Xenopus tropicalis: one gene and its partners. The protein of the gene in region 1 interacts with the protein of each later gene in a pairwise test. Links are inferred from orthologs where the notes say so. Each region holds a gene or a part of one and is shown on either strand. Other genes may lie near its edges.

Region 1 (3,500 bases):
AGGAATACTGAAAAGTACTGAACAGACTTAACATAATGGCACCTTTGTGCTCCATGACAGTACCTCAAATTCTGTTACACGCCATGACAAGGGAGCAGGTTTTTATGCAAACACATACATAAGTGCTGTACATAGTATCATACATTTCTTATTCAATGACACAAGTTCCTTTGGTCCATATAGTATAACTTGTGAGCAGGTATACAGTATATATATATATATATACATATGGCTCCTTAATACTATACTTTGTATGAGTGTTCAAGATCTGCCAATTAGAAATCTCGTTGCATGTAGTGTTAATGTGCAGTCCATAAACCTATGGTTCCCTGTCAAAACACTGAGTATGGTTTATCCACTGTAAGTCTGAGTGACAATGAAGAAGAGCTTGTGTGAGTGTTTAGTAGCTGTGTTTTGGCAAAGCCATTGGCTGGAATGTTGTCGGCGTGTATAAAGGCATTTGTGGTAGCTCTGCATATTCACTGGCTTCAGATTTCTGTAGCTGTGATTTCCTCAAACTGGATTTCGGCCCCGTGCAAGTCAAACTCGTCCAGTTCTCTTGCCTCCAGTTCTAAGGAGAGCTGCTTAATGTCCCTCTCCAGCTCGCGGTTCTGCTGGTACATCTGGATATAGTTATGCTGCAGCTGTTTTTGATAACGGATCACCTTCTCTTTTTCCTCTTGCCATATTCGCCGCTCATCTTCAAAGCTGTCAGCTTGCTCCTGATATCTCCTGCGTTCGCTTGTTAGGGCTTCCCTGAGACGCTCCACATACTGCTGCAAGCCCTGCAGGTTGTCTGCGTTCTGCCGCTGCGCTTTGGCCTCGTCACTTTCATATAATAAGAAAGGGTCCTCCTTTTCATGGCAAAGGCATAGTCCATGGCGCAGGTTGGCTACTGCTGCTTCCCTTAGGCCGGCTACTTCCTGGTCTAACTTGCTGGCTTTCTCCCGCAACAACTCTGCCTCATTCTTTTTGCGTTGGAGTTCATTCTCGCACACCTCCAGCTCCAGTGTCTTGGTGTGCGCCGTGTCCTGCAGCTCCTGTACCTGCTCTTCACTGATCTGGAGGTCGGATCGAGCCTCTCGCACCTGAGCCCGAAGCAGCAGTATCTCATTAGATTTCTGTGCCAGCTCAGCCTGGGAGTCCTTCAACTGTTGCTTCAGCAATGATATTTCACCAGATTTCTGGCAAACCTACGAGAATTACATAGGAACTGTTAATAGCTGCAAAGTTGGGAAAAGTTTTAGTAGCCTGTTATCAACCAAAGCAGCATCTTCTAATCACCAGTGAAAGCAATCTGATTGGTTACTCTCGGTATCGGAACCTGCTGCAAATGTCCAACGTTCTACTTTAATACTCTGGTGCTGTTTTATTATTGAGCTCTGTCTCCCTAAAACGTGTTCATGCCAGACACAACTGACTAGAACTGTGGGTCCTGGATTGAGCAGTTGGTTGCACTAGGAATGCTAATATAATGTATAACAGGGGTGTTATTACTACACAGTTGCTGTGTAAGCAATGGGGGCAGCCATTCAGATACAGGATACACAGCAGATAACAGTAGTATAATTAAAGTGTATACTACAGAGCCTGTTGGTTATCTCCTTTTCTCCATATAAACTATAGTAGGGTTTCAAACACACCACTGTTACGAGTGCAGGGCAAAACTACATTATATTTTCATTACAAAAACGTATTTTTTAGTGTTACTGTGTCAGTGCTTACAGTGAATGAATGTTACTGTATTAATGCCTCTGGCACTGGGTGCTTTTTTAAGGTAATCCATTCACTAGAAACATCAATTAGGCTATAATTTCCTAAAATGTGGTTCAGACTAGTCCTAAGGGGACCAAAAGCAGTGGATAAATACGGAGAGAAACCGCTTGAATGCTAATTATGATGGACACTATATGTTCACAGAAATACATTAAGGTGAATGATAGGACAGAGTCCTTTATATTTATACATTACAGGTATGAGATCTCTTATCCAGAAACCAACCCAATATCCAGAAAGCCCTGAATTACAGAAAAGCCGTCCCCCATACAGTCCAATGTAAACATTTATTCACATTTCATGGTAACTAAGCTGCATGGGTCCATATTGGTGGCAAAACAATCCTATTGGGTTAATTTCATGGTTTTAGAAGACTCAAGGTATGTTGATCTAAATTTCAATAAAACCCCTTATCCGGAAACCCCAGGTTCTGAGCACTCCAGCTAATAGATACCATATCTAGAAGTATAAAAATGTAAAAAACCAAAAGAGTTACTTTGCCACCAATATATATTTTTATGGTAGCTTAGTTACCATCATTCCTATTACAGAGGAAAAAATGGAACCATTAGGATATATATGCATATTTCCCTTAAACTGCTCCATGGAACATTGGAAGATGGCAGTACTGTTTAGGTCCTTTCTGGATAATGGGTTTCTGGATATTAGATCTCATTCATTTTATATTAAATTAGATCTCATATTCATATTGTATTTATGTATAAATAAGATAAACAGCCTTAAATAGACGTGTGCACAGTGAAACAGGCCTTCTTTTAACCTTGAAATATGCCATTCAGCTCTCCCTCCCCATGATATTTTCTTTGATATCGATGTGTCTTTTATATGACAAGACTGATTATCAAGCAGCTATTTAGGTCCATGCATTTGCGCTCCTTAGAGGCCATAACAAGTGGAAGTGCCAGTAAAGAGCTTTGGGGTTTTGCAATAAAACAAAGAATGAAATGGCAGTAATTGCATTGGTTTGTGGGAAACGCATAAGTAAAAGAGTTCTACAGATTCAATTCTATAAAATTTAGTTTACTGAATTTCCTGCTAAAGGAAATCTCTGCTCTTTGGAAACACATATAGTTGTAAATAAGGCAGCCTGACCTATATATAGAACATGTTGCTGATGGGACTATGCAGACAATAAGGATTCTCCAGATGTAGGTTAGGGTGACATTATGTCCAAAATACCATCAGAAAGAAAGTAGTTTTAGCTTTTCCCCAGAATAAACTTTACTAACAACTCAAGTAAGAAAATGCTTAAACAAATCATTAGGCGCCTTATCACTATTAGCCATAGGTTGAATGCCTCTAACTGCAATTAAATGAAAGATGGCTGGGTAATTTGGTAACTGGGCCCAGCTTTTGTACCTGCAGCAGATACAGCAGATGAGTAGCTAAGTTCTGATGAGACTTAAGCTTTACTGCCCGACAGCTCCACCCAAAGGTCAGCAAGAGAGACTACCGGGTTTAACACCTCGGGAATCGCCCGATGCACTTTCAGCGGGCAGCACGTGGTGGCAGGACTATTGCGTCATTCCTTGTTGATTTGTGTGCAAAGCACTATACCTGGGAACATCTGCCCTGATGACTACAAAAAAAGCTGCAGATGAACTTTCCTCTGATGGTGCAAGCAACATTGTAGTAGTGTAGTTTCCCTTTAAAAATAACTGGCCCGTGAGAGAACTATGTTATACAGAACAGAGAGTCCACAT
Region 2 (4,076 bases), about 50 Mb from region 1:
CACAAAGGAGGACTGGCATCTGTTTCTTTCTTCATCTGTTTCTCCTGGCGAGTCCCTAAAATATCCAGCACTTGCAGAATACGAGAAATGGGGACAAACAAACTACACATATCAAACTATTTGTGGATTAATAATTTAGACTTTACTCTTACTTTACTTTTTTCCTTTTTTTCTTACTTTTTTCTAAACTTTATACAGCACTGTGATGTGAATAGGGGGTAAGAGGTGACCTTTGTTGTAGTGTTAGCTACTTAAACCGAATTCCAAGAATTCCTTCACTCCTGGCTGCTAATCTCTTTCTTACTTGTAAATGGTAATGGTATGCTCGTTACTATGACACATGCCAGAATGGAGCATGGGTGGTGCTGGCTGAGCAGGCACTGCAATTAATGACATCATAAGAGGCTGGTTTTGTTACCAGAGTAAAATGTAACTGAATGAATGCAGCGATATAACTATAACCTGACAATCTATCAGCCATTTCCCTGCAGATATTCTGAGCCTTAGGGGGAGGTTGCTATGCACTTCTGGCAGTCAGCGCTTTGCAGGTCTCCTTCGTTTGCATTCATACATTGTCCTATAGACTTGGACTCCTGCCATGTGTACAGTGTTCTGTCAATTAATATTTTTTCTTTAGAGCTGAAGCTGGGAAATGTGATCTATGTGTGGCACTGCACTGCAGAGATTTACTTTTGCTCGGTTAATCTACAGGCTTTTTCTTTGCCACCTCCTACCAGTGTCCCATTTTCACTTTAGAAGTGCAAACTGGAATTAGCTGGTCTTAGCTAGCATTCTACAGGGTCACAGAGTCCAAAGCGTGAGAAGGTTGCTGGGATGATAAGCATTTTCTAAGGCTGATAAGCAATCTTCATTCTAATTCCTGCTCAGCCATGTGCGCAAAAGAATAAATGTGTGCATTTTAAAATCTGTTTGCTCAGGTCAGAATGAATGCAAAATGTTGCATGTGTTTACGCAAAACATTCTTTGGGCACACTTGTTGTGTGCTGCCCTCCAAATGTATGTGCGCCAGCAGGAGTGCACATCTTAGAGGGAATATTGCTGATAAGGATCAATCATATTCTGTAATGTTCCTTCAATTCTCACTAAAATCTTGCAGAAACCTTAATAGAGCTTGGCATCATGACACAAGTGTTTCAGACAAGTCCCACTTTTCCATATTTTCTTTCTATTGCTGCATTGACAGTTACTAAATCAGGACACGTTAGAGAGAGCTGAGTTGATCTCTAAATTCTGGGGTTGCAGAGCTGACCTTGGGCCAGGGGCAGGATTGTAAGCATTCTGCTGACGCTTGGAGTTATAGAGTTCACAAAGATATAACCCCTGCTCCTTCAGATAAGCACAAAGGGTGATAAGTAACTCCCTCCTTCCTATGAAATTTGTCACATTTTTCTTGGGGAAACAAACTTTTTGCTAACTCCACTTTTTTAGAAATAGTATTTGCTAAATATGAGGAACGTTCAGTTTTAACTCAGGTATCTAAGACCATGTCCACACTTTTGCTCATATTTTGAACTAGTTACATTTTTTCACCCTATAGTCACCCTATAACCAATGTTTGTATGTATGTATAACTTCATTTATAAAGCACTAATCTAAGTGTTGTCTGCTTTATAGGTTGGTGACAACACAATGTCACTACATACAACAGGCTCCAAATCAATTTTGCCACACCACATGATTAAATACATACTTCTGTATTTCTGTGATTGGCTTTTTTTCAGCCAGCTGCAGGTAGAACAATGACTGCAACATTCTGATTGGTTGCCATAGATTACTGTTCATGGGCAAATTTGGCAACTATTGTTAACTGAACCCCACAAATACATGGGTTGTCACAAAGCCCTTTTATCATTACATTAATTAAAACATTTTTCCACAACACCTAAAATGTTTGAAACTGGCAAAATATAAAAAATCCTTTTAAAGGCAATATTGCATCCCCTAAAAAGCTGTCAAATGTATTAGTGAACATTCTATAATCTTGCAGAATGTATATTCTCTATATTTACATTTTACAGAAACTGTTGCACTCTGATTACCTACCACCTGACAGGAGGAGTCCCTACCAACCCCTGTAGACTATTGTTAGCCCCCATACCAAAAGGAATACATGGAAAATAGGTAAACTTGGCAATGCCGTTTAAGTTGTGAACACATGGTGAGGCCTGCGGATCATGAGACTGCACCGCAGAGAATCTACATGGTGTACAAAGTTTAAGCTCTGTCCTTGCACGTATCATTTGACTTTGCTTATTTTAATTAGGAAAACTAAGCTGTCTCTTTCCCATTGACTATTCCTTATTCTGTTGATAATCTCTCCAAATCTTCCCTTTTTTATCCCTTTTGTAGATATCTCACCTTTGCTCTGTGGAGCATGAAATCCACAATGCTGGAAAGTATGACTGTTCCGGGTATTTGGTGCTCTCTGCCAGCACCTATGCCATGTATTCTTAGAGTGTGGGTACGCATCTTGAGTTTGGGATGGCTGATGAAATGCTCTGATAAATTCCCACTTCTGGATCACTCCTGGTTAGATCTTGGTCTGTACTCTAGGAAATAACTAATCCTGGTTCTGCATTGAAGCTGGCTCTAGAAAATTACTTAGAATTTGTGCAGCTTTGATTTCAGAGCCTTTTTCTTGAAATAATATTCAGTTGCAATATCCTATTCTTGGTGCTGCTGATTTCTGCTGGCACCAGAGAAGCAGATCAGGGTTACTAATTCCTAGTGCAGGATTCTTGGTTTTTCAAAGAGGCACAGTGTGACCTGCTTCCTCTCCAGCTATTACAGCCTCAGCAGGAGGAGACGGCTGCATGTGGAATTTGACAAGTTCCTGACGTCAGGTGGGAGGAATAGAAATACATACTGAGCACATAGTGATCTCTCCCTGGGAGGTGTGTCACCTACTTAGTCATGACACAGAGGTGTGTGCCTGTGTGTCTGTGTGTGTGCGTGTTAGTGCCACAGGACACAGAGCTACTTAGATGACAGGCCAATTATTATTGGTGTGCCCGATATGTACAAAAATAAAGGAATATTTAAATTTCACAAAGAAAAAAAATCAGATGTAATATAACGATAAAAAAACAGTGCAGGAAAGATTTGCAAATGTTGACAGAGATTATGTGCTGGATAGGTCTAACAGAGTCCGTCCTTATTTTTTAAAAGGTCTCAATTAGAATTTCATGGACTCCCCTATATAAGTATTGAGTCCTGCTCTGTCCCTTAGTTACATTGGGGTTTTTGGCTTTTGACAAGTTACTGGCAAGGTGGTAATAACCAGGTAATATCTGGTGCAAGTTCAGCTTTTGTTGCTTCACAGAGAACATGCTCTATGCTGCTGTCAGTTACTATGCCTAGGGGCTAATGCACAATATGCTGTATACATATGTATATATGTAAAAAAATAAGACTGTTAATAGCACTGACTGTTAGTTTGTGCCACCCTAGGCCCAGACCTTTGTGGCATTGCCACAAATCCGGGCCTGCTCAAACCAGTACAATTAGCATCAGAATTAAATAACCGGCCTGGTAGCATAAGTTTTTATGACAGGTGAACCTCATTTTCTGCTTGAGAATTTGTGACAATCGCTAAGCTCAGCCTCTGAACAGCTTCCCAGGGAACACTGAGCATGTGCGTGTCATTGGCACTTCTAACAAAAGGCAAGATTTGGAGCTCCTGTGAAGTGCTAGATCATTATTTTGAACAATAATGCTGAACATTTAGGATAATGCAGTAAGTTCTGTATATAAAATATGGCATTTCTAGCCATTTTAGTTTTTCTTTTAGAAAAGACATATGATCAATACTTGCCTACCCATGGCTATACACACACCAACCCCATACTGTATCATACAGGCTAAAACATCAAGCCTATCCAACTGACAAATTTACAATATACATATTACTGAAAATTGTAATTTCATATAATTTTATTGGTAAATGTATGGCAAATTATTTTACAGTACAAGGGGACTACTATAGGCAAGCAGCCATGAACAAGCCCAACATTACCATGTACTTAAAAATAGAATGCTTACAATCACATACAAAA
Region 3 (4,156 bases), on another chromosome or scaffold:
ATAGGTTAAGAAGTCTACCATTATTCCAGAATAACTAATCAATGATAAATGTAAGTAAGCAAACAGTTCAAACCAGAAGAAGAAGCTAAAAGATTTCACTTCTTAAATCGTAAGCTCTTGTGAGCAGGGCATTCCACCTGTTGTCTCCTAATAATATGCAATTGTAACTGTGCATCTTTTCTGGTGAAATATTTGTTTGTGCGTGTAAAGGGTTAAGCCTTATAATTGTATCCCTTTATTTTGTAAACCGCAGATAATATTATGGTCCAACCCTATGAATTTCTGCTATATCTGTGATAAACATTTCCAGAAAAATCACCTAGTAAAGTTGTTTTATAGCATGGAAAACAAATTTTCTTTAATGTTCCAACAGAAGAGTCAGCTTAGATTTCGAGACCTACTCTTCTGCAAAAAGGCACTTTTGCTGCTCTATATTCATGATCTAGTGACAGCCCTTGAAATAAATGAAACTGGGGGTAGAGTTAGCAGAACACAGTTTAGCTTGACATTGTTAAGAGTGAAGCCTGGGACAATTACAAACATAGGGACGACAGCAACAAACTCCTTCATTTGCTCACAACCTGTACAGAGAGAAAACAAAACTGTATCTAACAAATACTTTACATAATGACTGTGAGGTTAAAGTGACTGTAATTATTACCTGTTTTTACATTGTTAGCTTTAAGTACAGCAACTATACCAGCTGAGAGTCCTGGACAAAGTCCTTCACGTAAGATCACCATGGTTTCAGCTCAGCTGAGTTAACAGAGAGAAAAAAAATGATTATCGTATAAAGTATTTTACCTGTGTATCATATCAATTCTTCATAAAGTAAGTATTCAAAATACCCACTGGATGCTCTGTCTGTCAGTTACTCATGTCTTTGGGTATTAGCAATAACACAGATTTGTCCTTTGAAAAGTATATACAAACTGTCATATTTCTGCAAAGTTATGCCCCGTATGCTTTTTTGAAAGGATACCAAAACAGTTTTTGACAGGAATCATAGAGCCCTGTAATAATTACTGTCCAATTTAAATATTGCCTGCTCACCACTGGTCTAAAACATCAGCTGAAAGGCATGAACTAGACCTCAGCAGCAGATTTGCACATTTCAACCCATGCAAAAACAAATGTGTGTGTGAGACCGGGGGAAGTAACTTCCATGCCACGTGGGGAGAATTATAACAAGGAACACTGAAGCATCATAGTGGAGCATAAACATCACTGTGATGCTTTAGTGTATCCTGTTTTTTTACACTTAGATAGCTTTGGAATGCAGGTCTGGGTTTGCAGGTCCAACATTCTAATCTACCTTTAACTCAAGGCACGGAAGATCGGGGGAGCAGGCGAATTCAGCATTACTGTAAGTGCTTATGACTGTATTTACATTGACCATTCTGATAAAGCTTACTTTATTTTTACCTTTCCTTCTCCTCTAAAATGTAATGTGCTGTTGCCTTGTACTGGTCAAAGTTGTGTGTTTGCCTTAGGAACCTTATAAATACTCTACTGCAGGGGTAGGGAACCTGTGGCTTGGGAGCCAGATGTGGCTCTTTTGATGGCTGCATCTGGCTCGCTGCCAAATCTTTAATAAAAAAAAAATAATGGGGGGTGTGCCCTGCACTCGGCAGATAGAAGACGTGTTCTAAGCCTTAGAACACGTCTTCTATTCGCCGAGCGCAGGCCACGCCCTCCTCCGCATCGCATCCGGCATCCTTGGCACCCACCCTACCTTGCCCCTGCACTCGGCGGATAGAAGACGCATTCTAAGCCTTAGAACACGTCTTCTATCCGCCGAGCGCAGGCCACTCCCTCCTCCGCATTGCATCTGGCATTCTCGGCACCCACCCTACCTTGCCCCTTCGCTCAGCGGATAGAAGACATGTCCTAAGCCTTATAACACATCTTCTATCCGTGGCGCGCAGGCCACGCCCTCCTCTGTAACACATCCTCGGCACCCACCCTACCTTGCCCCTTCGCTCGGCGGATAGAAGACATGTCCTAAGCCTTATAACACATCTTCTATCCGTGGCGCGCAGGCCACGCCCTCCTCTGTAACACATCCTCGGCACCCACCCTACCTTGCCCCTGCGCTTGACGGATAGAAGACGTGTTCTAAGCCTTAGAACACATCTTCTATCCGCTGAGCGCAGGCCACGCCCTCCTCCGCACCCGGCATTCTTGGGACCCACCCTACCTTGCCCCTGTGCTCGGCGGATAGAAGACATGTTCTAAGCCTTAGAACACGTCTTCTATCCGCCGAGCGCAAGCCACGCCCTCCTCCACTTGGGACCCACCCTACCTTGCCCCGCAGAATCCGCGGCCAAACATATTGTATGGCTCTCATGTAATTACATTTTAAAATATGTGGTGTTTATGGCTCTCTCAGCCAAAAAGGTTCCCGACCCCTGATTTAGGGTATCATTATGTGTCATGTGAATGCAAAAACCTATACTAATACATGCCAACAGGCCACAATATTTGAGGCTATGTCTCAGTTTAAAGTAATAATTTTCTATATATACCATTTGACTGAAATCCAATCAAGTACTGGCCTTAGTATATATGTATGTATGTATGTATGTATAACTATGGTCCCCCTGCAGTCCTCGCCTCCACCATATCCCCTCACCCATATCCCCTCACCCATATCCCCTCACCTGTTGCAAACCCTTGCCTGTTTACTTCTGAACCTTTATGCCATATAATCCCTGCACTGACTCAATTCTACTTTCAGATCTCCCGCTCCTTCTCTGGATGCTGCATCTCCATACAGCGAGGAAGTTGTGCTGGTGACAGTCATGTGACAAGACGTGGGCGGGGGAATGTGATGTCACTTGAGGGAGTGCTTAGCTGTGATATCACAACTTCCTCAAAGCCAGTCTTTGGAGCTGCTGCGGCCCATGCAGAGGAGGGGGTAGGCGATCTGAATGTAGAACTCCGGTGGCTCAGGTTTCAGATGCCAGAAAGGTACATCAATACACAAAAGAAGGGTTTGCAAGAGGTGAGGGCTGCTGTGAGAGGGAAATGGCGGAGGTAAGGGCTGGAAGGAGAGTAAGGGGATCTACGGTGGGGATCTCTCTATGTACTGTACTAAGTAGCTGAACTGAAAGAGCAAACTGATATAAACATGACTGTTTGGGGGGGGGGGGGGGGGGGGGGGTTGGGCATAGTGTGAAATGTACAGTGTGTTTGGGGGAGCAGTATGATGGGGAGCCCAGGGTGGTATGTACAGTGTGGCTGCTGGGGGAGCCCAGGGTGGTATGTACAGTGTGGCTGCTGGGGGAGCGCAGGGTGGTATGTACAGTGTGGCTGCTGGGGGAGCGCAGGGTGGTATGTACAGTGTGGCTGCTAGGGGAGCCCAGGGTGGTATGTACAGTGTGGCTGCTAGGGGAGCCCAGGGTGGTATGTACAGTGTGGCGGCTGGGGGAGCCCAGGGTGGTATGTACAGTGTGGCTGCTGGGGGAGCCCAGGGTGGTATGTACAGTGTGGCTGCTGGGGGAGCCCAGGGTGGTATGTACAGTCTGGCTGCTAGGGGAGCCCAGGGTGGTATGTACAGTGTGGCTGCTGGGGGAGCCCAGGGTGGTATGTACAGTGTGGCTGCTGGGGGAGCCCAGGGTGGTATGTACAGTGTGGCTGCTGGGGGAGCCCAGGGTGGTATGTACAGTGTGGCTGCTGGGGGAGCGCAGGGTGGTATGTACAGTGTGGCTGCTGGGGGAGCCCAGGGTGGTATGTACAGTGTGGCTGCTGGGGGAGCGCAGGGTGGTATGTACAGTGTGGCTGCTGGGGGAGCGCAGGGTGGTATGTACAGTGTGGCTGCTGGGGGAGCCCAGGGTGGTATGTACAGTGTGGCTGCTGGGGGAGCGCAGGGTGGTATGTACAGTGTGGCTGCTGGGGGAGCGCAGGGTGGTATGTACAGTGTGGCTTCTGGGGGAGCGCAGGGTGGTATGTACAGTGTGGCTGCTGGGGGAGCGCAGGGTGATATATATGGTGTGGCTGCTAGAATGTAGATTATTATGTAAAGGGGATTAGGGGAGTGCAGAGTGACATACTCTTGTGACATACATGTGTTTAGAAAAATAGAAGGTGCACTTTATGTTAGGCATTATAAATACCGTGGATTAGGTGTTTGTCGTTAACCTTGTGACATTGA
Region 4 (3,500 bases), on another chromosome or scaffold:
AATAATAACTGGACAAAAAAAAAAAAAAGTAACTCGACATAGCCATGATCAAGTAATAATATTGAGGGAATCTGAAAGGGTGATCCATATCTGTATTAGCTAGTTGTAATTTGGTTTTGATTCCAAGTCAAGTGTATATTTTGTGGTTCTGTAGAAATTCCTATGAGTCAGGATTCACTTCATTACAAACTTTGTTTCGGTGGGTATTTTAGCAGTCCACCTACTACATATACGTTCATTGTTTTATTTTTATGGCCCACAGTCTGCTCATAGTTCGAAGGCTCCATAGACCTCACTGTATAACATCAGAATTTGAATTTAATCCGGCCCTCAAACATTCTATATGAAAAAATAATCTGCCCTCTACATGTAATAAGACGAACAGCACTAATCTAATGTTGACACTTTTTCAAACTAAAATTATTAGGAGAAAAAAATGTTGTGAAAAGAACAAATATGTGCAAATTTGCGTGAATTTCATATAGGTTTAATATAGGTTTTTTAAACCTTAAAGGTACTTAGCCACCAATTAACCAGTGGTAAAAAGGGTAGTAAATGTTATAATTAGCACCAGTGCACAGTATGTACTGTATGTAATAAAGTAATATTTTTTTTTTAAAAAAGTAAAACTTTAAAACACTCCCATATATTGTTTTTTGGTGTATTTATTTGTGTACCGAATCTGGCAGTATTTTTTCCTTTGGATGCGGTTGCTATGAACTGAATCATTAGCAATGAGTGTACCTAAAAACACCACATATATCTTAGCCTCTTTTTCTCTGTCACTATTTAAAATTGCTCAAACTAGAACATTTTAAAAATAAGTAAAACACTGAAGTAAATCATTTTTATTGCAAAAATACTTACCAACTGCTTATTATTCTTTAAAGGCTTCTCTTCTTTAAATATGTCTTCTCCTTGACATGAAGATGATTTCAATTTCAGTTGTGAGACCTGAATATAATTGTTGGTGAGTACAGAGGTAAATTAACAAGTGTTGTTTATGTTAACTCAAAACATGACGTGATTTATTTTAGCCTCTATTGATCCCATTGCAAGCAATATACAGGATCCAACTAGACTAGCAACATGGCAGTCCATGCAATGGGGTTGCTTTTCTTTTTGCGTAATGACAACTGTAACCAACTTTATGACATGCATTGATGAAAAATATTCAGTGGTTTTAAGGTTATTTTAAATGTAATTGTTATTAAAAGCTGTGTCTGTCTTGCTATGTATATTCTCTGTACTAGTTCTGACTCCTGGAATATTGTAATTGAAGCTATCCTGGACCTTTTTCCCAGAATTCCTTCTGAAGCTAATTGATTAACACACCTGGGGGCACATTTACTAATCCACGAATCCGAATCCCGAATGGGAAAAAATCGGATTGGAAACGAAAATTTTGCGACTTTTTCGACGCCGTCACGACTTTATCGTATTTTGCGATACGATAAAGTCGTAACGGCGATGAAAAAGTAGCGCAAAATACGAAAAATTTCGACGGCGACGAAAAAGTCGCAAATACCAATCATTATGATAAAAACGCATTCGGACGCTTTCGGTCTGTTCGTGGATTAGTAAATGTGCCCCCTGGAGTTAAAACTGACTGCCTATATGCCATAGCCTTCACAGCCTTTCATTATTTAGCACATTTGTACTGTTTTTAATATATATGATATATATATATATTATCTGTAGTTTCATTGAACACAATAGACCAGGTGGGCTTTGTTAAGGCACAAGATAAAAGATGGCTGAACACAGCAGAGGTGATAACAAACATGCTGCCTTTGATCTCCTTCCTTTTTCTTCTAACCTTGTTTTTTACACAGCCCCTTCATGTATTGCCATCTTTTATATTATCTTCTATGCATCTGAAACCCTCTTTTGTCTCTATTTATTTCTGTATTAACTCCAACTGTGCAAACTTAATTATTTCCTATACTCATTAATACCCTTCTCTTTTTTTACGCCCTTCCTATTTTTACACTTACTCTGTTTAAGATCTGATATCAGTGACAAAAATATTTAAAAAATTGTTCTTCATTATGAAACATGGAATCATATTTTTCAAAGTGAATAACAGTATGCATTTCATGCCTTTAGGACAAGGAAAGCTGAATTTACCTGGGGGTAACAATATGTTATTGAGATCTGAAAAATGTACTGTGTGCGTGAGTCTAAGGGGCTGATTTACTAATCCACAAATCCGAGTTCCGAATGGGAAAAAATCGGATTGGAAACAAACATTTTGCGACTTTTTTGTTTTTTTGCTATTTTTTCGTCGCCGGCGCGACTTTTTCGTAGCCATTACGACTTGCGCGAATTGTCACAACTTTTTCGGAGCCGTTACAACTTGCGCGAATTGTTGCGACTTTTTCGTATTGAGCGCTAGTAAACGGCGGGCAAACCTTTCCGATTTTTTCGCAACGGCTACGAAAAAGTCGTGACAATTCATGCAAGTCGTAACGGCTACGAAAAAGTAGCGACAATTTAAGAAAAAGTCGCGACGGCGATGAAAAAATCGCAAAATACCGATCATTACGAAAAAAACACATTTGGGCGCTTTTCGGACGTTCGTGGATTAGTAAATCAGCCCCTAAGACTGCAGAGGGATGCCTGGGGAAGTAAGTTGGTGGCATGGTACTGTGCATAAAAGGATCTCCAGCCCGGGGATAAGTTCACCTTTTCTTGTTATTTAACTTTGAAATTTCTCACTAAAGGAAGTGAAAAAGACAAACAAATTATTACCATTGTTTCATGAACCAATTTCATTTTTCTAAATTGTTGATCCCACTGCCTGTTCACGTGAAGCAGCTGTAATAAGAATGTTAATACAGTATTTTAATTTTAATAATACAGTCGTTTTTGAATAATTGTTTCCATTTTTTTTATAAACACCTGGATCAACTTAATATGCTTTTATTCCTTAACTATACAATTTCTGTATTTGAGTGTTATTTCCAGACCAGTTCTGCTACTGTGCCTATAACAGTGCTCTTTATTTACCCTGTTGCGTGTAGAGACATGAGGAACCATTTATTAGTTCAGGTGCAGGTGGAATAATGGGTGCAAAACAGTGCCCCTTAGTGCTTATTCACTTTGGACTTGGGGAAGGTTCATTGCTGCCTCTGCACCCACACTGAATTAAAATGCCATAGGCCACGTGTTAAATACAGGGCTTTATTGCAGCCAGTGTCTACCAGCGTTCCCTGACTTGTGCATCTGAACAGGCCCATAGAGGCAATCTGTAGATTCTGGCAAATGCCAGAGGGGTTGCTAAAAGATTTCATAGTAACTATTAATTGAACTGATAGGGGTTCCTAAACCTGTGTTGTATTCATGAGCGGGTCCCCTCATGAATAAAGCGATGCCAAACACAGGTGGTGTTGTATTCACAGATCTCATACAATACAATGGTTTAAGAACAAAAGGTCATTCTCCTGCAATGCCATACTTCTTAATATTTGAATATCAAAACTGCCTTGACCAAGTCC
Region 5 (3,963 bases), on another chromosome or scaffold:
TGGGCCACCATCTGCGCACACTGAAAATCATTTCATATATGGTTTTATCAGTATGTATATGGTCAGCTTTGCTGGTGTCAGTTACAGTACTTTATGTGGAGGCTTGCCATATTAAGTGGCATTGCTAGTTTTATGGTAGCGTAGATGTTTCGCTTTAACCTACCTCCCCAGCTTTCCAGGGGCAAAAGATAGATACAATCACACAGGACATATTACAGCAGTTGTTTTAGATATTTACATCAGAGATTTCCAAAAAGCTCATTGGAGAATTTCAAATATATAGACTGTAAGCTCTACGGGGCAGGGACCTCCATCCTCTTGTGTCTTTGACTCTTAACTTATTGCAACTGTATTTATCTTGTATTTATTGTTATACTTTGTATTTATCGATTATCTTAATAACCCCAGTTTGTATTAATGTATTCTACTGTACAGCGCTGCGTACATAAGTAGCGCTTTATAAATAAAGATATACATACATACATACATACATACAAATATTTACTTTAGTGCTACTGTTTATTTATGTTGTAAACTGAACGCTTTTTTCTTTACATACCTACTCCATTAGTGGTATGTAGTGTGACCAACTGCACTGGCTGCTTATACTCTAGCACCAACCGACAGAGAGTCATTTTCACAATATTTTTGTACACTCGCTATTGCGTATAGCGGGGAGGGCATTTCCCGGACACAATAATATGTTATACATTGTATTTATCTATTAACTTAACCCCCTGTTTGTATTAATATATTCTACTGTACAGTGCTACGTACATAAGTAGTGCTTTGTAAATAAAGATATACCTACATACAAACAATAAGGCCCTGTTTCTGTGCAGAGCAGGTTATAATGGGTTAACATAACCCTAAATACTCAGAACAACCCACTTGAACCGGAAACAATGACTTGCACAACTAGGCGTATGTATTAAAAGATGATTTATATAATTGTTATATAGCACGTTGGAAACGAAAACTAAATCGCCTTGGGGGATTTTTGATCCAGTGCTTATAGGGTTACCCGTGCCACAAGCCCTACTTTCCCCTCAGCTTCCCTCCACTAGATGGCAGAGAGATGAATCGCTGATGCAGGCCTGTTGCAAGTGGTGCTGATTTGCCCGGCTCGTCTGCCACACAATCTATTTGCTGCGTGTGACAAGCGGCTGTGCAATGTGTCACGGTTAGAGCACAGCTGAGAGCTATTCCCGGCATTGCACAGGGGCTACCCCGCTCACTCCAAGGGAGAGGGACCTGCAGCAAACGGGGTAAGTTTCCTTAGCATCCTACACTACATGTCTGTTAGTAAATAGGGTACATCGTTCTGTGTAATTATTACTCAGCAAATGACATTAGATGCCAGCGCTGGGCGCAGGGCATTATGGGAATATTTCCTTGTCAAGTTGTTGTTGTTTCCCTCCTGGCTTCCTTGCTTTATATTTCTATTCACTCTCATGTAGTTCCTAGGTAACTGCTCTATAATATACAGGTCCTTCTGATGTGTTAATATTAAATAAGTCCTGGGTGATGCCTATTGATATATGTATTGTACTAATAAAAGGAGCAATGGAATAAAGTAGCCTTTGTGGTAAGCGGAATGGAGTTAGAGGGCAAAGTAATTCTGTATCATGGCACTGCTGTTGCCATAGTTATTATACACAAGCTGCTAAATGAACTGCAGTGCTTTGCTCTAAGGAGCTCTGGGTAATATGTGGTAGCTGCTGTGTTTGTATATAACTAAACCCCATATTCTAGTCCTTGTGTTGTGCCTGTCACTCTCTAGAGATGCTGCTGGCCAGTAAATTACTGCTAATTACTGTGTCCTGTTTCCCATTAGGCTTCCTGCCAGGTGTCGGATTTACAGACACTGCGATTTTATGTCCCAGAATAGTGAAGAGGTTATTACTGTATATTTGAAAGTTACTTAGTACATTTTGTTTCATTATGGAAGATTCGTATATTTGGGTTCACATTTCCTTTAAAACACAAGCTCCAACACGTGCTCAGACGCAGCAATTTCGGCCACACTCACTAAAACCTATTACCAATATGCTGTTATCCTGTGCAGAGAACTGAGCCCAAGCCTTGCTACTGACGTGAGATTGCCTCAACCTTTAGTTCCTGTGGAGATCCCATTCAACAAATAGAATGGAACTGGATTTATAGAGCTGCTTTTTTCTGGGGATACAAAGTACATCTCCAAAGTTATGGCAGCTCTGTTTGGGTGCAATAACTGGAGCAGCAAGGTCACAAGGATCTAATGCTGGGATACATGAATAGGTCTCCATCTTGAGATCAGATGTCACTGTCCTTGATCTCATGAACCAAAGAGCCAGCTACATATAGAAAAAAACTATGTAATGATATAAAGCAAAAAAATAAGGAAAAAATTAATATACAAGGCATGCAAAGCTAGTATGGATTAGGGATACAATACACATATACAATTGCTTATTGGTAGGAGGCAATAAGGGAAGGGCCATTCCTGTGTGAGCTTACAGTCTAAGAATATTTCCCATTTTTTGTAAATGATAAAAGACAAAAAACTGTAGTGAATCTGTAGTGAATAGCCTTATTATTATTTATATTTTTTATTATTATTATTACTACCCGGTCCCTGCCCCAGTTGAGCTTACAGTCTAAGTTCCTATCAATGATATCAGTAGCCAGTTCATATTTTTGGAGTGTGAAAGGAAACTGGGGTACCTGGAGGAAATAACACAAGCATGGAAAGAACATACAGATCCCATGTGATAGAGCCCTTCATTCATTCCAGTAAAGGAGTGAGAATGAGTGTTACAGTTACCCATTGCTTATTTTTCTTTTTTATTTCTTAAACTCCAGGCACTCTGAGGCTGATATATATCATACTGAGGTCATTGTCTCTCCTTGCATTGACTTGCATTGCACATTTCTAGACACAGAAGCTGTGTAAAGATAAACCATGCTTTCTTTGCATAGCTTAAATAAGATATATGATTCAAAATTAAAACAATAGCCTGAGCCATATTAACCCTATTTATTAGTTGTACTTTTGGCTCTCTTACATATTTCCCCTTCATATAAAATACACTTTACACCACAACTTGTTTGCTTTGCAGTGGCCTGAGCCAAATATGGGTAACACAGCAAGTGATCGCTTATCTGGAGATCGGCATGGCAAGTCCCACCGTGCAGATGGAGCAACTGGGGGACACTCTACTAAGGAGCATGAGGAAAACAAAATCATGGTTGGAAGCACAGACGACCCAAATATCTTTAGTACTCAAGAATCTAAGGTATTCCAATGAACTGAAAAGCTATATGAGACTGGAGTGGGAATGTGATCTTTTAATGCCATAGGGGTCATTTACTATGACCCGAATGCTAGTGTTAGAAGGGATGCAAAAATACATTCCATAGTGCTTCTTCTAAAGAGTTTATTATATGTGGACCTCCTGCTGTTGAACTACATTTCTGAGAAATCCCTTGACACAAAAGGTAGATAGCAACAATAGCTGGAGACCCACAAGTTATTGTTTCCCGAGCTATAAATCTATTTCTAATTTACATTTTGGCAATGCAGCACCCTGGTGACTCAACGTGGCCCCAGGAATCAGAGGATCCTGGAAAATCAGCTCAGCAAGGTCGTCCCACTGTAATCCGTTGGACAGAAGGTGGCAAAGAAGTCTTCATATCTGGGTCATTTAACAACTGGACTGCCAAAATTCCACTGATTAAAAGGTAGTACAACTTACATAAAAATAGGCATATATTGGTTTTGTATTTTTTAGTTTACATGATTGTCTTACCTGTAACTCTCTAGCTGGGCAGAAGTCATACTTTTTAAACATATCAGGGAAGGCTTAATATTTTTTTCCCTAACAACAGGTAGCTTTTTTATTTGCACAGTGGCACCTGTTTAAATGAAAGCAGCCCAGGGGCATGTATACCTATAGAAATATTTATTAACTTAAAAGCTAT
Region 6 (4,232 bases), on another chromosome or scaffold:
ACTGGATGACTTGGAGAAGAGGGAGGAACATGCAGGTATCTTTGTTTTAAAGAGGGCACAGGAAGAAACTGATATCTCCCAAAGCCCAAAGGAGCAGAGTGGCATTAGTTCTGCTAAAGCAATACTACCTGCTACTTTCTGTTGCACTTATTTTAGTAGTAAGGTGCAGGGATAACTGTTATGGTCAACATCATCCCTGCAAGACAGATTGACATGACCAGTTTCTTTGAGTGCCCAAGCACTTACCACCTCTCTCTCAGGGGAGCTTGGTCTTGATCCAGGTAGTCCATTCTTTGTTGGAGTTTTTGCCTCTTTCTTTGGAAATTGAATCTTCTTAAGATCCAAACGATCATGAGTAACCCACTCATCTAATCGCTTGTTAACTGGGGGGATTAATAGAGTAAAAAAGTAAAAAAAAGAGACTGAAATAATTTTACAAGAGAAAAAAATGCTAGCAATAAGAATTAGAAGAGGTTAAAAAATTTTAACTTCTGTGTTTACGTGACAAAAAGTCACATGAATTTTAGGATTCAGATTTGGTTCCACCAGGACTGTGGATTCGCCAAATCTGAATCTTGCCGAAAAAGGCTGAATCCCGAACCAAATCCTGGATTCGGTGCATCCCTACATTATAATATGCAAGCTAATTGATAACAGAATATATGGCATTTTCTAAAAAAAGACATGGACTAGCTATAGCAGAGTAAATGCTACAGACTGACAAAGTGGGCCTGATTTGGCTGGCCAATCAAGAAGCCTGAAAGAAAGTCTACAGAAGGGCTCTGACGACATAGGTGTCTGTGAATCCAACATACAGGAATCTGTGTGCCTGTACATACACAGTTGCCTGTGCAGAGGTCTGAAATATTGCTGCAATAGGTATGTCACTGGTATGGAGGGAGTGTCTTTTATACACTCTTTTGTCACAACTGTCACACCTGTATTGAATAAAAATTTGTTTCTGCATGTGTAAATTGCAAGAGGGCAACTGGCAGCTGATCTAAGCCTGCTGGTGAGCAGCACAATCTTGAATGCAAAAGAGTCAGAAGTGCTGTGTATATGAGGATATAAAGGATATAAACAATAAGCTGCTTTGCTGTTATATGTACAAATGCAGCTTCATCAGCCCCTAGCCCAGCCCGGCTCAATTCCTTTACTTCCCCTTTGCACATGTTTGCTGTTGAGCCTCATGACATGCCACAGCAAATCAGCTTTCACTATGCTCTGTCACTCACACAGAGATTCTGGAGGGTGGCGAATGGGAGGCTGCTTCAATAATTAGCCATAACTTTGTAACAGTGCAACATTTCTAAATGCTATACATTGTCAAAATGTTTGTCTAGATTTTATATTTTCAATATTCTAAAAACATTTTTCATGATTGCTCCCCTTTAAGCAGCTCAAGCCTAGTTTCAGTACATATCATTATTTAAGCCATGTATCCTGCATATTACTATATGTAATATGCAGGATATATGTAATACTAAGTGAAACATTAAACTCCATATTTAAATATAAACTTACAGTCTATATAATGCACATAGAATAGTTTCTTCCCTGTAAGTTCCTTGATGCTCAGAATTTCAGCAAGTGCTAGAGAGGATTAAACAGAGACAAAAGAAGTGGTTACAAAAACGGTATATTTTATTATGAATTACATTTTATTTCTTTGCTTCTTCACAAACCATCTGAATGAAAATTCACCATATAAATAAAAAACACACAGAATTCTACACTCTTGTAAACATAAACAAGTACAGGTATGGGATCCATTTTCCGGAAACCAGTTATCCAGAAAGCTCCGAATTACGGAAAGCCCATCTCCCATAGATTCTGTTTTAATCAAATAATGTAGAATTTTAAAATTGATTTCCTATTTCTCTGTAATAATAAAACAGTACCTTATATTTGATCTGTACTAAGATATAATTAATCCTTATTGGCGGCAAAACAGTCCTATTGGGTTTAATGAATGTTTTTGTGATTTTTTTCTTACGGTATGAAGAACCAAATTATGGAAAAACCCCTTATCCGAAATACCCTTGGTCCCGAGCATTCTGGATAATGGGTCCTATACCTGTACAAGCTATATTTCTGCAATATTTATTACAGTGCGTTTCAAGCTATGTAGTACTTACGCCATTCAACTTCATTATCTTGATTCTTGCGAAGTACAGGCAATCGGCAACCCTCCACAATCTCTGCCTGAAAATCAGTCACGGATAAATGAGAAACGGGCAACTTAACAGTGTATTATTTTAATGGCTGTATAATGTAGTGGCAAATACTTGTTCCTGACAGTTTATGTCCCCTTTAAATAATAAAGTACAACATAAAAGGTGTCAATGTGTGAGATACAATAACTAACAGCACATCTAAAAGGAGTAATAATGAGGAAATAAATCCTAGACAGATCAGCTGAAAAACAAATATAGAAAACCAAATGTAATATGGCTCAAGATGCAGTAATTTGTCTGAGGAAATCCTGACATAACATGGTCATTAATGGGGAATATAAATGGGGAACCTTACAAGCAATTGGAATTTGCATTCACAGCAGCTGATATACGGCCATGCAAGAAGCGACAGCCAATGTTTGGTCAATATGATTAAATGTTTCTATGGCCTCATAATACAGAGAGGTTCTCTTGACATAAAAGAAATGGATAACGCAAAATTCCAGCCCCTTTTCGTATCCTACGCTTTGCATGTAACTATATTCTGTGGAAATATCACCTACAATTGCGCATACATAGCGATAAGAGCTAAACAATAAATCTTACCTCCGCCATGATTTTGCTTTAAAGCGACTTCCTTCTTTCCAGCCTCGCAGCCGCCTCCCCCTTCCTTGACAACCGTATCGAAGGGCAAAGAAGTCGCGCCGGAATAAGCATAGCATTTTTACGAGCCTCTAAAACTCACCTTTGTCCTTGATTTGGAACAGGTTATGAAATTTTAAAGAAATATATTTTTTGTAATAACTGGAGCATACTGGACAAATATAAATATAGTATTAATTACCAGGCATTCGCCTGGGCAGCAATAGCAAAAAGGCGGTAATTGTTTCCCCTTTTTCGATTTGACACGCACCATGCGTTCCAGTGATAGCGATCCGCCCAAAACACTTCCGTAAACGGAGTTACGCATGTGTGTAATAGTAAAAACAGTGTAGTATACAGAGGTTGGTTGCGAATGTGTGTGAAACATTTATTCCCATCAAAGGGGACTCTAAAGGGATGTGGGTCCCAGTAAATTCTGGTTATGCCAATGCCTTTGTTTCTTTTCCTTGATGTGTGTTGTATAAGCAATGGCTAGTGAGAAATGACCTATGCTGTATGTAATGGAAATAAATTACGTTATTGATCATCTGGAACCACAATAGCTAAGGCAGAAGATTAACTTCTGTAACTTTAACACAAATATATAAAATTAATTTCTGATAAGCAGTGAAGTAACAGGTAAGATCAAATGGGCATTGTTCTAATATGCTCTGCTTTACTGTCACCTCAGCTCATGGACTGACAATATACTCTATTTATTGTTGTATATATAAACGTAAGTGAAAGCTGCTTAGTAGCAACAGGCAAAGACACAAGGACCCGGAGGTATAACAACAATAACCCAGTGGTTGCTTGGGAATCAAGAAATGTACAGGCCAGGCAAGGGTTCTGGATAATGCATAATTTCTATCTGTGAGAAACTGACATCTTCCTCAAAGTTTTAATGCCTAAAAAAACATTTTCTTGTGGGACCCAGTGTATAATGAATATAATGAATTTGAAACAACAACATATTAAAGAAATGCTCAGCTTTTTCAGAGCAGATCTATAATCGGACTTTAGAAACATGCTAAAAAGGGCTCAAAACAGAATTAAGTGTTTTTTCTTTTCTAGTATAACTGTTATTGCATTTAATTGCAAGGCTTTGTAAAGGTAACATTTTAAAGCAGAAGCACTGATGAGGTTAAAAGTCCTGCTGCATGCATAGGGTTGATCACCTAATTCCTATCCACTCCTAAACATAAAAAAAGACTATATAAAGAATGTTGTTATGCAACAGAAATTTTCTAACCTGTCCAACTAAACGACCAATTGCCATGGTATGAAAATTGTTGGGACAATAATTCAGAGCCCACAGACAGTCTGAAAATCACACTGTTGGCCAATTTATTAGCACATGTTTCGAGTCACACAAGGACCATTTCTCAAATGGCAGTATGATCTAACTAGAGC
Region 7 (4,282 bases), on another chromosome or scaffold:
ATGGGAACAGGGATTCCTACTTGTGTCTCAAGGCAGGACTTGTTAGTAGTTCTACTTTAAAGGATACTGGTTTCTGTAATGTTTCTCTATATCTTGTAGCCATTCTAACATGTCAGCTATGGAAGGACAGAGAGAAGAACGCTCCAAAATTGCTTCAAGACCAATTTTTTCAATGCTTGTCTCATACATGTAGAGGACAGATCCAACCACCTGACTTACAGAGTCCCTTATTCTCTGCAGCGTAGACCTGTAAAATTTAGCAATTGAAGAGTTACAAAATGTAGATAATCCTTGTATTCAGGAAATACTTTTTTTCAAGTGAAAATCTGATGCCCAGTTTGGCAACCTACAATATTTACTGCCTGTGATAATGCCCAACAATGTAAATAGCATTTTGTATTAGGCCATAAACAAGTCTGTACAGATTACACACATCCAAAAACCTAGACCTTTGGCTTTCATGTTTTAACTTGCTGTGGGTATGTGATTATTTTGCAATATCCTGCTGAGAGTAAAAGGTATAAAGTGATTAAAACTAGTACTGTGCAATTAGTAGTCACAATGTAATAATTTATTGTAGGAAAATATTAAACCTATTACTGATTTGGTTAGATTTTGTGGGAACCAAAAGGTAGTGATTACACAACTGACAATCATGTACTTCACACTGAAATACAACCAACCAGCTTGAGGTTATATTGTGGGGATATAAACCTTCCATACAAAATAAATTAACCTGTAACTTGTATGCAAGTGTGAGTATCAACGCCATTTCATATCTCTTCTTATTGAGGAAGAAGAAAATTGCTGCTAAAAATATAAGAATATTTATAAAGGCAAAACCTGCCGAGTACAAAAAAATGTGCATCCTATGAGAATGTATTGTCCAAAATCCATTCTTTTAGCAGTGTATCACTTTAGAACTAACAACTGCTATATCTACTCAGCAGAGTAGATTTAAGGTAAGGGAACATGGAGCGGATACTCTTTCTTTCACCTGCAGTTTTTACCCAGGCAGAGGAAAGTGGATCCACTGTCATGCGCTCCTTCCTGTAGAACCATTAACAGGCAGTGTCTGCCTGTGTGGAGCTACACATAGCGGATATTGGCGCAGAAACACTCAAGTATGCCTATTCGTGCTGATATCCGCTCAGTGTAGCACAATACACACTGAAGCTGTGTCAGTCAATGGAAAGATATCTACATTAAGTATGACAAGCAAGTAATTCAGTGTTTTCAGAACTGATGTACATGTAAAGTGATGCTTGTATCTTATCTAAAAATTTGCATGGTGATACCAGCACCGGAAGGGTTGAACCAACAACACATTGGACTTACAACTTCTGATTTAAGATCTCCAAATTAAACTCCATAGCTGCTTGTAGTTTAAAACGAAGATGTTCTTGCAGGTTAATAAAGCTGCTCAGGGGGGTTTTCTTAAACAGTACTCTCTGGCAGGCCTGTAGCTGTTCTGCTAGATTACTTAAAGAAGTTAGGTGTGGGTTACACTCTAAAAGTGTATTATTCCATTCTTCATGCAGTGGTTCTATGGCATCAAAGGACTTTCTCAGCGATTGCTGCACGGAAACAAAGGCTGGTTTCTCAGACATCCTATAAAACGATAAAACTGGTGAAATACATGTCATAAATCTGATGCTTTGCACTTAAAATAAAACTCAAGCCAACAAATCAGTTATACAGCGTTATGAATGCAAAAACACACAACACCTTTCTAAGTATTTAAACCCTTGAAAAAGATATACTCACATTAGCCTAGTAATATTTAACTCAGTATAGTAAAATGTATGCTGAAATGTCTTAGAGAAGTAGGCATATGTTTAAACTAAGTTGCAGCAAACATTTCTTAAAGGAGACATAAATTACATAAACTTTAATCTTGTAGACAATTATGAATAATATATGGGGCTGGTTTTACTTTGGTATAAAAATTAAAACTATCTGTAAGAACTGTCCCTTTTTGGAATTCCCTATAGATCCTCTCAGGTCCCTGTCCGTGTTTCAGATGAGAGGTGGGCATGTTCTAATAGTCCCTGCCAGAAGCACAGTAAAAGGGGGAGAGCCAATCACAGCCCTGCAGTCACACAGGCAAAGACAGGCTTCAGTTCCCTATCAGGTCAGTCTAGCTGCTGATTGGTTCCTATATAGTGTGCTGAGTGCCGCTGGCCTCCCCTGAACAACCTGGGAAAGGAGGTAGCCAGAAGTGGAACAGATAAATAAAATCAATAAATCAGCCCCAAACACTACTTTTTAAAGCACATTTCTTTTATATTTAGATGAGTACAAATCATTGGCACAATATGGTTTTTCACACAATATGTCCCCTTTATTTTAAAAACAATAGGCCAGATTATGGGTACATACCCGCTGGCATTTATCCGTGCGTTTTGATGTGTCATATCATGACAACCCAAGGGCCAAATGACTTCAGAGGGAGTGGACACCAATGCTAAAATTGCTTGCAAATCTATAATAGCAGCAATTAGGCAAACATTTGTTATCAGATTTGCTCTGACTCGAAGATTTTGGCACACATGCATAATTTATATTGTTTTAAAATCGCTTTATGTTGGCAATGATCAGTAATATGTGGCACCCGATAAAATCTAAGCCATAAAGTATTGTTAACTTTAACAAAAAAAACTGCTTAATTAGTTCTACCTATTATGGGAGTGGCTTTCTAGTACTTCCAGTGTTATGGGTATCAGTTTTTTTTGTTTTATTTTAAAGCAGGGGTAGGGAACCTATGGCTCGGGAGCCAGATGTGGCTCTTTTGATGGCTGCATCTGGCTCGCTGCCAAATCTTTAATAAAAAAAAAAATAACAGGGGGTGTGGCCTGCGCTCGGCAGATAGAAGACATGTTCTATACGCCGAGCACAGGCCACGCCCTCCTCCGCATTGCATCCAGCAACCGGCATCCTTGGGACCCACCCAACCTTGCCCCGCGGCCAAACATATTATAGGGAATTACATTTTAAAATATGTGGTGTTTATGGCTCCCTCAGCCAAAAAGGTTCCCGACCCCTGCTTTAAAGGTTAAACAACCTATGGCTACCTGTGCTGCATTTTTTCTTTTATTTTTTATACATAGTTGGTAAAAAAAAATCTATAGATATGGTACAGCTGGTATTTGTTTGCTGGAAAAGTTGGACCTAGACCTAGCAGTAGTTACTGCCAGGAGTTGTAAGGAACAGAGGCATTGTTGCATGCTTGGAACAGTGATTACAGGAAAAAATAAGTATATCCACCCCTATATTAGCAGTTACCACAGTGGAAGATGTTCTACATAACACTACCAGAATAACATTAATAAATCTAAGATTATTTTTATAAGGGCGAATCATCGGCTCAAATGTATATAAAAGGTGATATATTTCAGTATTGCTTTCAATTATTTACTAAGAAAAAAGTAAGGCTATCCGTATTACATTGATTCGTGTCCTTAAACAGCATTACAAACAATGTCATATATAATGTCATATAGAACAGAAAAGGTAAAATAAAAACAGCGTCAACTTCCCAATTCAAACGCACGTATTTCACCAGACCTGGAAAAGCTGCTTAGCTTGCCCGCTATCATTAGCACAACTGCAACGTGAATACATTCACCTTTTTTTTTAAAGCCGGAAATGGAAACCTACAGCCGCACGGCATGAAGGGAATTGTAGTTTAAAGTCTTGTTATTGCTATCGAGGTGACTGGCGCGACAATTGTTTATTCCTTATTTTCCTTGGTAACAATTGCAGTTTAAGTTGGTTTAATACCATAATTGTGCATGAGAGTAGCTAACGTAAATTTTGATTTGTCGGCGCTGCTATAAAGGATATTTTATGATAAATCGCTAGAAACTACAAATCCCAAAAATATTTAAATAAGAGGGAATTATTTCCGGATCGGAGGTAACGTTCGGTGGTTTCCGGTTTATAGAGAAGGTAGATTGCTTAACATTTTGGTTCTTCTCGGTGTGTGTTTGTGAAAAGATTATAGTGCCAGCATGAATGAGGAGGATGATAGGGGCAGGAAGCGGAGACCACACAGCCCGGAGACAGTAACTATAAAACAGGAAAGGATAAGCCCCGTCAGGCAGCACCGCACCCGGCGAACTCCAAGCCCTCGAAGCAGCGATGGGGGATCCCCTCACCGGCACCAAGGGCGCAGGCGAAGCAGGTAATACCATAAAAAAACAATTCAAAATTGTGTGTGTGTGTGTGTGTGTGTGTGTGTGTGTATGTATGTATGTATGTATGTATGTATGTATGTATG

The links.
Region 2: the proteins of lzts2 (region 1) and usp2 interact in binary tests that used the Homo sapiens proteins (3 or more experiments, as listed by UniProt). The two-hybrid records come from large-scale screens. The link is inferred for Xenopus tropicalis from reciprocal best matches to the Homo sapiens genes LZTS2 and USP2.
Region 3: the proteins of lzts2 (region 1) and rad51d interact in binary tests that used the Homo sapiens proteins (3 or more experiments, as listed by UniProt). The two-hybrid records come from large-scale screens. The link is inferred for Xenopus tropicalis from reciprocal best matches to the Homo sapiens genes LZTS2 and RAD51D.
Region 4: the proteins of lzts2 (region 1) and tnip3 interact in binary tests that used the Homo sapiens proteins (3 or more experiments, as listed by UniProt). The two-hybrid records come from large-scale screens. The link is inferred for Xenopus tropicalis from reciprocal best matches to the Homo sapiens genes LZTS2 and TNIP3.
Region 5: the proteins of lzts2 (region 1) and prkab2 interact in binary tests that used the Homo sapiens proteins (3 or more experiments, as listed by UniProt). The link is inferred for Xenopus tropicalis from reciprocal best matches to the Homo sapiens genes LZTS2 and PRKAB2.
Region 6: the proteins of lzts2 (region 1) and kat5 interact in binary tests that used the Homo sapiens proteins (3 or more experiments, as listed by UniProt). The two-hybrid records come from large-scale screens. The link is inferred for Xenopus tropicalis from reciprocal best matches to the Homo sapiens genes LZTS2 and KAT5.
Region 7: the proteins of lzts2 (region 1) and c1orf109 interact in binary tests that used the Homo sapiens proteins (3 or more experiments, as listed by UniProt). The two-hybrid records come from large-scale screens. The link is inferred for Xenopus tropicalis from reciprocal best matches to the Homo sapiens genes LZTS2 and AIRIM.

What each region holds. Positions count from the first base shown.
Region 1 is NC_030683.2:29,793,038-29,796,537, reverse strand, and holds part of lzts2 (leucine zipper putative tumor suppressor 2 homolog), read right to left. Parts: intron 1,194-3,500; coding exon 489-1,193; 3' UTR 1-488. UniProt on the Homo sapiens protein: Negative regulator of katanin-mediated microtubule severing and release from the centrosome. Required for central spindle formation and the completion of cytokinesis.
Region 2 is NC_030683.2:80,112,306-80,116,381, reverse strand, and holds the start of usp2 (ubiquitin carboxyl-terminal hydrolase 2), read right to left. Parts: upstream 2,801-4,076; 5' UTR 2,491-2,800; coding exon 2,380-2,490; intron 1-2,379. UniProt on the Homo sapiens protein: Hydrolase that deubiquitinates polyubiquitinated target proteins such as MDM2, MDM4 and CCND1. Isoform 1 and isoform 4 possess both ubiquitin-specific peptidase and isopeptidase activities.
Region 3 is NC_030678.2:94,397,372-94,401,527, forward strand, and holds the start of rad51d (DNA repair protein RAD51 homolog 4), read right to left. Parts: upstream 2,801-4,156; 5' UTR 2,664-2,800; intron 757-2,663; 5' UTR 744-756; coding exon 662-743; intron 1-661. Other genes in the region: keratin, type I cytoskeletal 9-like, read left to right, coding at 3,231-4,013. UniProt on the Homo sapiens protein: Involved in the homologous recombination repair (HRR) pathway of double-stranded DNA breaks arising during DNA replication or induced by DNA-damaging agents. Bind to single-stranded DNA (ssDNA) and has DNA-dependent ATPase activity.
Region 4 is NC_030677.2:71,474,019-71,477,518, forward strand, and holds part of tnip3 (TNFAIP3-interacting protein 3), read right to left. Parts: intron 2,821-3,500; coding exon 2,755-2,820; intron 955-2,754; coding exon 868-954; intron 1-867. UniProt on the Homo sapiens protein: Binds to zinc finger protein TNFAIP3 and inhibits NF-kappa-B activation induced by tumor necrosis factor, Toll-like receptor 4 (TLR4), interleukin-1 and 12-O-tetradecanoylphorbol-13-acetate.
Region 5 is NC_030680.2:118,092,965-118,096,927, forward strand, and holds the start of prkab2 (5'-AMP-activated protein kinase subunit beta-2), read left to right. Parts: upstream 1-1,163; 5' UTR 1,164-1,268; intron 1,269-3,101; 5' UTR 3,102-3,116; coding exon 3,117-3,278; intron 3,279-3,565; coding exon 3,566-3,723; intron 3,724-3,963. UniProt on the Homo sapiens protein: Non-catalytic subunit of AMP-activated protein kinase (AMPK), an energy sensor protein kinase that plays a key role in regulating cellular energy metabolism.
Region 6 is NC_030680.2:37,908,523-37,912,754, reverse strand, and holds the start of kat5 (histone acetyltransferase KAT5), read right to left. Parts: upstream 2,801-4,232; 5' UTR 2,793-2,800; coding exon 2,784-2,792; intron 2,206-2,783; coding exon 2,139-2,205; intron 1,594-2,138; coding exon 1,525-1,593; intron 384-1,524; coding exon 247-383; intron 1-246. UniProt on the Homo sapiens protein: Catalytic subunit of the NuA4 histone acetyltransferase complex, a multiprotein complex involved in transcriptional activation of select genes principally by acetylation of nucleosomal histones H2A and H4.
Region 7 is NC_030678.2:86,153,920-86,158,201, reverse strand, and holds the start of c1orf109 (uncharacterized protein C1orf109 homolog), read right to left. Parts: upstream 2,801-4,282; 5' UTR 2,559-2,800; coding exon 2,383-2,558; intron 1,612-2,382; coding exon 1,339-1,611; intron 248-1,338; coding exon 68-247; coding exon of another isoform or gene 52-67; exon of another isoform or gene 21-51; intron 1-20. UniProt on the Homo sapiens protein: Part of the 55LCC heterohexameric ATPase complex which is chromatin-associated and promotes replisome proteostasis to maintain replication fork progression and genome stability.